Tribolium castaneum: one gene and its partners. The protein of the gene in region 1 binds, or shares a complex with, the protein of each later gene. Links are inferred from orthologs where the notes say so. Each region holds a gene or a part of one and is shown in the gene's direction. Other genes may lie near its edges. The genes, in order: mediator of RNA polymerase II transcription subunit 25, MED8 and MED31.

The links.
Region 2: mediator of RNA polymerase II transcription subunit 25 (region 1) and MED8 share a complex: the UniProt entries of both Homo sapiens proteins name them as parts of the mediator complex. The link is inferred for Tribolium castaneum from reciprocal best matches to the Homo sapiens genes MED25 and MED8.
Region 3: mediator of RNA polymerase II transcription subunit 25 (region 1) and MED31 share a complex: the UniProt entries of both Homo sapiens proteins name them as parts of the mediator complex. The link is inferred for Tribolium castaneum from reciprocal best matches to the Homo sapiens genes MED25 and MED31.

Annotation. Positions count from the first base shown.
Region 1 is NC_087402.1:9,090,376-9,094,135, forward strand, and holds the start of mediator of RNA polymerase II transcription subunit 25, read left to right. Parts: upstream 1-950; 5' UTR 951-1,048; coding exon 1,049-1,170; intron 1,171-2,477; coding exon 2,478-2,648; intron 2,649-2,696; coding exon 2,697-2,916; intron 2,917-2,963; coding exon 2,964-3,312; intron 3,313-3,357; coding exon 3,358-3,603; intron 3,604-3,650; coding exon 3,651-3,760. Other genes in the region: toll-interacting protein, read right to left, coding at 1-217, 265-563, 611-655. UniProt on the Homo sapiens protein: Component of the Mediator complex, a coactivator involved in the regulated transcription of nearly all RNA polymerase II-dependent genes.
Region 2 is NC_087396.1:15,801,685-15,805,444, reverse strand, and holds MED8 (mediator of RNA polymerase II transcription subunit 8), read left to right. Parts: upstream 1-1,390; 5' UTR 1,391-2,474; coding exon 2,475-2,993; intron 2,994-3,039; coding exon 3,040-3,405; 3' UTR 3,406-3,498; downstream 3,499-3,760. UniProt on the Homo sapiens protein: Component of the Mediator complex, a coactivator involved in the regulated transcription of nearly all RNA polymerase II-dependent genes.
Region 3 is NC_087401.1:17,495,465-17,498,130, forward strand, and holds MED31 (mediator of RNA polymerase II transcription subunit 31), read left to right. Parts: upstream 1-1,112; 5' UTR 1,113-1,551; coding exon 1,552-1,564; intron 1,565-1,607; coding exon 1,608-1,715; intron 1,716-1,772; coding exon 1,773-2,101; 3' UTR 2,102-2,158; downstream 2,159-2,666. Other genes in the region: uncharacterized protein LOC656943, read right to left, coding at 1-20, 73-281. UniProt on the Homo sapiens protein: Component of the Mediator complex, a coactivator involved in the regulated transcription of nearly all RNA polymerase II-dependent genes.

The DNA of each region.
Region 1 (3,760 bases):
ATATGAAGGGAACACTAGATAACTTAACACGAGATTAATCATTCCTTCGACACCTTCACCCTGTTTCCCATTTAATGGGTACCAATCCTCGTGGGTTTCCCCTGCAAGTACCTGTTGGGGGATCTGGAACTGCGTCCAGGCGATGAGTTCGTCCATCGTAAATGAGCGTTCGTCGAAAATTTCTAACGTTATGGTATTAATACCTTGAGGCAACAAACTGGAAATGGAAAAGTAGGGACTTGCTAGTTTTTGAGATGTGTTTACCAGTGAATAACTTTGTTCCATCGCGGGTTTTTGCCGCCGTTCGGGTCCGTATGCGTCTCGTAAACGCAATGCCCGACCCGAATCCGAGCGTAGGGGTCCATTCTGGTCATTCCGTAATTTTTTGCGAGCTTAGCTTGAGCAACAGTGATACTGAGCCTCCCAACGACATTTGTGTACTGTTGGCCACCGCTTAGCTGGTGGTGCAGTGCTATGGCTGTTTGGCGATCCGCTGCCTCTTGTTGTTGCTGAACCGAGGTGCTGATACGGAGAAAATCCTCCGGGAGGGGACCAAGGAGGACCTAAATTTCGGCATTAAAGCACGATTTTTTAAATCATTGGCACCTACCCGACTTCGCCTTTCTCTGACTTTGTCCGTTAGCGCCGATGCCATGGTGTTACACTATTTCAGATAAAGTAAAGACGCATTAATTCACTGTTTGCGGTGTTTGATGACAAATAATCAGCTGTTCACGGCAGACGTCAACACGCCTGACACTAGGGGAAAAAATATAATCCCAGTCTGGGATTAAATTTTATTAGTTTCTGGCGAAAATAGCCAGGTAGTTTTGGTTAAATGCAATCTACTAATAATTCTATTCAATTGATTAGTTTTCCAGACAACATTTTTGCATAATTTGGCTAAAATAAAATTTCATCTGAATGAAAGTGTTGCCATTAACTTGACGTAACATCCCTAAAAATTTGACAGGTATTTTCAATATGGCGGGGTTTGGTGCTTGTATTAAATTGTTTCATTAAAATTGTTTAATATTTTGACTAAACAATGGTTGTGTGTCCAGCTGATCATGGCTTACACGCCGATATCGTTTTTGTTATCGAGGGAACTGCAGTGAATGGTGCTTATATAAATGACCTAAAAACCAATTATATCATCCCTTCGTTAGAGTAAGTTTACTTTTTTTTGTAACTTCTGATGTATTACATGTTTTTCTCTACTACTGCTAAATTGTTTTTATTGCCTATTTGGCTTTACAGTCCTACTTGAAGTTATTTGATATTCTAGATATTCTTTACCTTTCCCAATTTTCTTTTGCACCCGTCACTTTTTTCATCCATTCTTTTCCCTTACCATTTTCGTTTAAAACTTTTTTTCGTATCAAACTTGCACACTCTTACCTCCACAAACTGTGACACTCTCCGCTTAATCTGCACACTGTTTCCCAATCTTCTCTCCAATATTCGTTCTCGCTTTCATTTCTACGTCTAAATCTGGCTATGATTTTCTTATCTTTACTTTACATCTTCCTTAAGTATGAGAGGAGTTCATCCGTCAATAAGCACGGCATATTTTACGTATTACACCTCGATTCTTTTTTCCATGTTATTCTTTCCTGCCTATCTATGTCCAAATCTCTCAATTTCAGTTCCTCTTCCATTGTTCGTCCCCTTTCTCTTATTCTTTTAATTTCTATACACACTTATTCCTTCTTCTCATAGGAGTCTTTTCGTCCTTTCCATCTAACATTTTCATTTGCTTTTTTGATTTCTGTTCAACACTGTTGCATTCACGCAGAATTCTTAATTTCTCTTCAAATCCCACCGCTCTCTTTCCTTAATCTACTCTTAATTTTTTTCTCTTCCTTTTTTTACTATGTACTCTGGCATTTGTTTATTTAGCCTGTTCGATCTCGTATTTCTTCCATCCCCACACTTCTGCTCAAAATAGTCCCTACATTACAGTGCTTTTCCCTAAGCTATTATTTTTCTCTTGAAATTTTCACTAAATTTACGTTCTCCCAAGCTTCAAACATTTCCTAAAACCCCATTTGTTTTTTTTTGCTGCTTCTTTTATATGGGCTGTGTCTGACATCTTGCTACTTATTACTCTCTTCTAACTGAAATAGTGAAGATTGACTAAAATAATACAGTACATATCTGATTCAGATACTTCAAGTCTTTCACTTGTTCTATATTTTTCCTTCCCATTGCCATTCATCCTCTTTTCCGAATTCCCATACTACTTTTCTTTCCAAATATCATCATTTTTGTTGTATCTACATCTACATTTCCAATCTTTTATTTCTCTGTTTTTTCTCGTGATGAATTCTGAACGGATAGTTGAACAAGGTTTGAGGTACTGAGAAATCAGTGTAACCTTGCTTTGTTATGATAAAAATTACACCCTGATACGAAAAAGTAGTAGTAGTAGTTTTTAATTGGAGAATATGTTCTTGTAACTGAGGGACTTTTAGATATTTTAGTCAGGGGAGTATTGATGAGAGCAACTTCCTATCAGAAGGGATTAATTCTTATTACGGAATTGTGGTGTATCAGGCTGCTGATTGCTTACCGCACCCCAGTAGCGACACAATTGGGCCCTTTGTAAGCCCCAGTAAGGTATTAAATGCCATAGACAAACTTGAGTAAGTTCTAACTAGGAAAAGGATCACTTAATGTAAAAATTATTTCAGACTTATAGGAGGTAAAGGCGAGTCTCATGCAAACATTGCTGAAGGTTTAGCCACAACCCTTCAATGTTTTGACGAATTGCAGCAAAAACGTGACAATAACGGCAACATTCAAAAGCATTGTATTCTAGTGTGTAACTCGCCCCCTTATTCTCTAGGGGTTTTTGAAACTCATGCTTACACAGGGAAGACAGCTGAGCAACTAGCAGCTATTTTGCAAGAAGTAATTAACCAAGTGTCTTCCACCAAATTTGCATAATTAACTTTCAGAAAAATATCAATTTGTCGATTATCTCGCCGCGCAAAATCCCCTCGTTGTATAAACTGTTCGAGAAAGCCGGCGGTGATTTGAGCGCTTCCCAGACGAAAAACTACGCCAAGGACCCCCGTCACTTGGTCCTCCTGCGCGGCTTCAGCCTGAAGGAGCGCCCCCTGAGCCCCCCTGCCGGTACCGCCACTTCCGCCCAAACCCAAATTTCTAACACTACCATTCCTATAACCTCTCTCCCCAGCCCCTTAGCCAGCAATGACAGCCCCATCTCGTCATCCTCGTCCGCCAACTCCGGGGTTCCCTCAGGAGTGGGCCCATCGCCCGTCTATCGGCCGCCCAGCGCTCAAGGTATAACCCCCCAACACTCACAAAATGTTACACCAGGCATGGTAGGTATGGTGAACGCCCGAGGGGCCATGATGGGCAACAACCCCATGAACATCCCGCAATTGCCCGCACCGCCGGGCTACCACCAAGCGAACCGGCCCAGATGGCCAGCTATGTTGCCCCCAACGCAGCCCAGGTCGTATCTGCCGCCCAACCAACAGGTTAATACCACCCAAAGTAGCGCACTGATTGCACAGCTGACACAACCCCCGAATTCTATGCCGGGGACTGGGGTTAATCAATTTGGACAAAGTAAAAGAGAAGTTTTTGAGGTGTTTGAGGTAAATTGCGTGTTTTAGTGGGGAATAATTCGCCGCTTAATTCGCAACAGCAACAACCCCAAATGAAAATTAATATTATGAATCAGCAAAATCAGCAACCAAATGTTCAGACGTCGATGTCGCAGAAT
Region 2 (3,760 bases), on another chromosome or scaffold:
AGTCAATGGAAAAATAAAAATGCATGTTTTTATTTAAACAGAAACTGGCAATGTGAAAGTTTGGTGCGAAAATTAGTGGTATCGCAATGCGTATAACCACATTGTTTGTTTGTTTCGTTTTGTTGAAAATTCGGTAGGTTCCAAAAGTAGGGTTATGTTGTCACCCGAAAATGACAAAATTTACACTTTTATGAATTTTGTCTCCATCTCTGCCCTTTCAGAGCGTTATGATAGGATATTTAGGGTCGAAATCTCTACCTTTATTATGTGCTATTGCCAGATAAGGACAAAAGTTCAGAAAGTAGGGTTAGGGTGTATTATGATCTCTTCTGAAGTGTTAAATTTTAACTTTAATGTTTTTTGTGTGCTTTCCTGCTCTTCTAGAGCGCTATTAATTATTATTGAACATGTTTAAGGACAGACAAATCTACCTTGAGTCAACGACATAAATTTCAGTGAGATTTATTGAAAAATGCACTTCTCGTGTCAACCTTTTCATGAAAAAGGGTGTTTAAACGTTTATAAAGGGTATGTTAACGTGTGTTGTTAACTTTACCACGTAATAAAACATAAAGTATAACTTGGTAATTTTTTACTTTAACTACTTCTGGATTTTCAAGCTGAAACTTACACCAAACGATTCCTCTGAGTGCCCTGATGACCGTACACTATGAATTTTCTTGTGCAAATTGAAAATAACATTAGAAAAATAATTTTTATTTTCACTCACTTTTTACTTGAATCGCCATTTTTGTTGATTTTAATTTGAGTTTATTTTTTATAATATCACGTTAATTTTTATTATTATAGTGGATCAAAATGTCGTCTTTAGGTTAGACTATTGCCTACTATCGGTTAGGAACAACATGATCTCCAAAAATATAACGTAGTAATGAGCTCCAGAAGGTTTACGTAGATAGGTGCGTTTTTCCCAAAAGTGAGTTTTTTGAGATCGAACCGCAAGTGAGTCACACTGCGAGGAGACTCCCATAGACAGAAGTTGCAAACATAAGGTGCCAGACCGGTGCCAGTTTGGCTGATTGCAAGTATGTCTTTATCATCGATTCGGTGACGACTATTAGTTTCGTAAACTTAATGGATTTAATAAATATCTTTAACATTAAATGTGATCGTGTCATGTTGGGTAAAATTCTTCCATCTGTGCTGTCTGTGCATCCACCTTTTCAAATACAATTAAGAAATTTTCATAATAATTGTATTTGATAAGGTATTGGCATCATTTTGACGTGAGCAAAAATTAAAAAAATATAAAGTAATCGGAATTATTTTAAATTCGCGCCATTTTTAGTACGTGATGATGCGGCTAGATGGCTTCAGCTAGGAATTCATTGCCAACCATTATGTTCCGCTTCTATTAAAGTGTTATTCTAGGGCCACAGCCATTGCCGTCTCGAACTCCAGGCCGTCAGGTTACTAGCTTTTGTTTATTGTGACGTCATCGTAAGAGTCGTGACATTTGTTCGCATCGTTTGAATATATTGTACTTTTTGGTGTTTTTGAGAGTGTTATTAAGTAATTTGTTGTTGTTTACGAATTTGTTGTTTTGTGGTTGCGTTGTAGGGAATGAATTTTGTGTGTTTATAGTCTTGTGTGACGTGATTTTGACAATTATAGGTTAGGATAGTTTTGCATTATTTTTGTTTATAAATTTGGTTTTATTGTTTTTAATCGTTTAATTTGGTAATAAATAAGCAGATAAGGCATATTTCAGTCTCTAAACCTAACATACTTAATCCTATTGCATTCCTAATTTTAGAAAATGCCGAATAAGTGTTGTGTTCCCAATTGTGTGTCTAACATGAATGGTCCTTATGTACCTATGTTTTCCTTTCCCAAACAAGAATCCCTGCGATCATTATGGTCAAGAAAGATACCCCGAACTAATTGGACTGTTACCAAGAACAGTCGTGTTTATGTGAAATATTTTCGGGATGATTTTATAATAAAATATCACGAAGTGACTAGAGATGACGTAAAATTCTTCGTCATATTCTTATACTTTCGATCACACTTTTACGACTAATTTAAAACATATTTAGCGAATAATAACATGTTGCATTCCATAAGAACCTGTGTTAAAACTTGGATAAAACGGTCGTCTTTAAGTCGCGGTTATTCAAAATTTAGGCCCATAAGGAGAATTTTTGTATTAATAGACGTAACTTTAGACGTTTAAGTACGGCTAGATGGTTTAAACTATCAAAAAATATAAACTTTAATATATGTTTTTCGGGTAATAACAAACGGATAAGGTACTTTAAATCACAACGTATGTCACTATAAAAATTATAGTTGACCGTTCGTTGACCACATTTGCAGTATCAGGATTCTTTAGATACACTTTTCCGTCGTTTCTTGCATAAAACGTTGGACGCAACATAGTTAAAATTAATTTTTTGCAAAAATTCAGAAAGTTAGGTTATGATCATTTAGACTCTTACTGTGACGTCACAATGTCAACATGCAGGCCTGGAGTTCGAGACGGCAATGCCACAGCCGACATACCGTCATCGTGGTTAAGGTTATGTTTTTGTAAACAGCGCCAAAAATACAGCAAAATGCAACAACGGGAAGAAAAACAACTCGAATCGTCTCTCGATTCCATAATCCAGCGTGTCAACGACCTAAAATCATCGATAGCTTCAATGATTTACAAGGTGGAGAATGAATATGAGACCCTCAACTGGCCCACATTTTTGGACAATTACGCCCTTATGTCCGGCCAACTCACCTCCCTTTCGAAGGTTTTAAGCCACGACAAATGCCCCACCCTCAGAAATCTCACAGTACTGCCCCTCATGTTGTCCCCCGAGCGGGACGAACAATTGGCCCAAATGACCGAACACAGAGTCACAACCTTCGCCCATGATTTAGTCCCAGATTATCTTCGAACCAAACTAGAACCGTTGGCGGAGAATAAAATGATGCAATTGGAACACAAGGCGTCAACTTTATCGTATGAGAACGCACAGGTATGTTAAAATTTTTGGTAGAGTATGTTTCAACGCAAACTTTCAGAAACAAATTGCTGCGTATCAAAAGGTTGTGTCCCACGTTTGGGAACTGGTGAGTAAAGCGAGGGAGGAGTGGGAAGTTGAGTCTTCCGCCAGGGGAAGTACGCAGCAGAATTCCAGTGTGGCTGATACTCACTCGCTTGTGGCGGCTGTTGGAATGGGGAAGGGACTCAAGATGGGGGCGAACCCTAACGGTCAGCCCAATCCCACGTCGGGAGGGATGATGGTGCCTCCGCAGGGGCGCCCAGGGGGCACTCCCGGGCAAGGACAGATGCCCCCCAGCACGCAAACCATGACGATGAATAAGGCGCCCTCTGCTATTAAGACTAACATCAAAAGTGCCACCCAAATACATCCATATGGACGCTAGTGAAATAGTTTTTAATGTGTACGGAGATATATTTATTTATTAAGATATAATCTTACAAAAATAACTAAATATAACAGTGGAAACAAAGATTAACACTTTGTAGCGTAATGAGTAGATTATAAAAAGCATTAATTTTATAGACTTTGAAACTATACTATCAACAAATGGTTGAAGTGTGGCTGGTCGGAACGGGTGGCTTTTCCAATAAGTACAGCGGAACTTGAACATTTTCACGATGTATGTTAGCACATGCTACGCATTATATAAAATATAAAACATATAACATTTAGAATACTTGGGACCCAGTCAAACAAAAATTAACAACTTAAAAAAATATTTTCTACAACGTAACGCG
Region 3 (2,666 bases), on another chromosome or scaffold:
TCACGCAACTTATCGAAGACCTAGCCAAAAAGGCGTGTGATTTAAATTTTGACAAGTGATAGACATACGTACAGGACAATTGATGATATCTTCAAGTCTTTCGTTAGGTTTTTTCCCTTTTTTTGGACGAACTAACAAATAAATTGTTGATAATTGAGGACATGAGCGTAGTAATTTCTCGATTAGTACTTTCCCCATAAAACCAGTGGCGCCCGTGATGAGGATGTGTCGGTTTTTGTAGAATTCCGCAACCGCTGATTTATTGCTCATTGTTGAGAAACCTCAAAAACGATTAAGAATTGATTTATTTGCGTGTTGTGTAACGTGCACGCCACTGGTGAAAAAGTTAGGTAATAGGACAGTGGCGTACAAGGAAATGTCAAACACGATTTCGGCAAATATTTGATTGTGGACACAGCACTTGTGATAAGTAGCCGCGTAACAATACACGAGTTTTTGCACAATTGCTTTAACAAATAGAAAAAAATTTCAAAATAATGCAGTGAACTTTTTATGAATTTCGTCAATTCTCATTAATACATTAATAAAATAATAAGTAATGTGTTTCCATTAAAATTAGCAATGATAAATTACTGATATTTACTAAATTAAACAGTGAATTAATTATTGCATCAAATTTTTTATAAAACAAATGATCGAAAAATGAAGCAAAATCATATAAAAGGGTGACTTTGTTTTTTATTTTAATTATGATTACCAAGAAACTTTAATTTAATTAAAAATTGTAAAAATCGAAAAGCATTTTTTTAATTAATTCTTTACTTAAAAAGGATTTAATAGTAATAATAACTGATAATAATTAAACCGTAATTACAGTAAATTAAAAAGAAATTATGATTTTTAAACATATTTGAGACTAAAAACGCTAATCAGGCGTTAAATAGCTGATTAAATAATTAGAAAATTGTTAAATTAATTAATGAAATAATTAATGATAAGATAATTCAAAATTACAATAAATGAGCCAAAAAAAACGCGATTAAAGTCCTCACTTTAAATTTTTTATTGATCCCGCAAAAGTGAAAAGAAAAAATCTCGACTTACTGAAAGGCAGCAACAAAACAATAAAATTGTTCACACACAAAGCAGCAATGTTTTGTAGACAAAGCCGCAACCCATCCACCTGTTTTCATACAAATACCATTACCATATACCACCACCATGGGAATTTCCATGAAAATTCCTCGTGTTGGGGATCATTATGTTAGTCAGTTATTTTCTTATTGGTGGTCAATTTCCCGCTCAATTAAATAACTGGGCTACTTTCACCAGCGATTGATTTTTCCACACGCTTCTTACAACATGTACCGTTTCGATCCGATTTCTTATTATTGAGAATTGAATTACGCAAGAATAATACTTTCAATAGAAGAACAAGGGAATTTGCCAAGCCTCTAATGGTCGCTTTTCTATTGTTGTTACTTGTGACATTTTAAGTGCACGCTCTTACAACACGAACTTGCATTTATCCTAATTGATTAATTAAAAAAATTCGAATTCGAATCACGCGCCATTTTATGCACAACAAACATGGCTGGGAAAGGTAAGCGTCCTTTAATTAAATTTAGGTAATAAACAAGTTTTAGGCTGGAATTATATGTCAGGGGCTCCGGAAACCGACGATCAGCAAAGACTCCGCTTCCAGATTGAGCTAGAGTTTGTGCAGTGTCTCGGAAATCCTAATTATCTCAACTGTAATGACGTAACCTCACTTTTTCGGGAGGGAAAAAATACAATTTTTTGCGTTTTAGTTCTCGCACAGCGTGGTTATTTTAAGGATAGTACGTTTGTTAACTATTTGAAGTATTTGCTTTATTGGAAGGAGCCCGAATACGCCAAATATTTGAAATATCCAATGTGTTTGTATTTTTTGGATTTGTTGCAATATGAACACTTCCGGAGGGAATTGGTGAATGCTCAGTGTTCGAAATTTATCGACGATCAACAACTTTTATTGTGGCAACACTACACCAGGCGGAGGAGTCGTTTGTTAACCCCTTCGAATGTTAACGGGACAGGTGAACAAAGTATTAACCAGAATAGCCAAAGTAACGGACATTTGAGCAATAAAATCAGCTAGGTAGGGTACAAATGTGATTTTTTGGTGGTTAAGTGAAATAAATTATTTTTTTGTTTAGTTACATAAATCACCAAGATCCCACCAATTGCACCAAAATCCCACCCATTTCCATCCAAATCACAATTGATTGGCTGTCGCTGTAATTAAGGTAAGTTCCTTGTTTTTCCTTAAAAATCGTAAAAAATGCAAAATTTGTAACAAACCTCAAAACCAAAAGTCCCTGAACCCGCCCCGCCAAATTCAAATACAAGTTCCGTTTCTCGACCCAATTGGACTTAACTGTACACGAAATCCGCTCGACTTTCATACACCAAAAGTGTACTTGGCTTACACGATTTGTTTATTAATAATTGTTGACATGGTTCTATTAACAATCAAATCAATCATTTCGTTTCGATGCGTCCAACAATTAAAATGAATTTTTTCAAAATAATTTTTGTCGTTATTGTGATAATTTTGTGTGCTAGTGATGCGAAAATACGCAAGAAAAATACCAAAGGTTTGATTTTGCGGCAAAAAGAAACGAATGCGATTAATTTTCTCAGGTAAAAAAATATTGTATCAT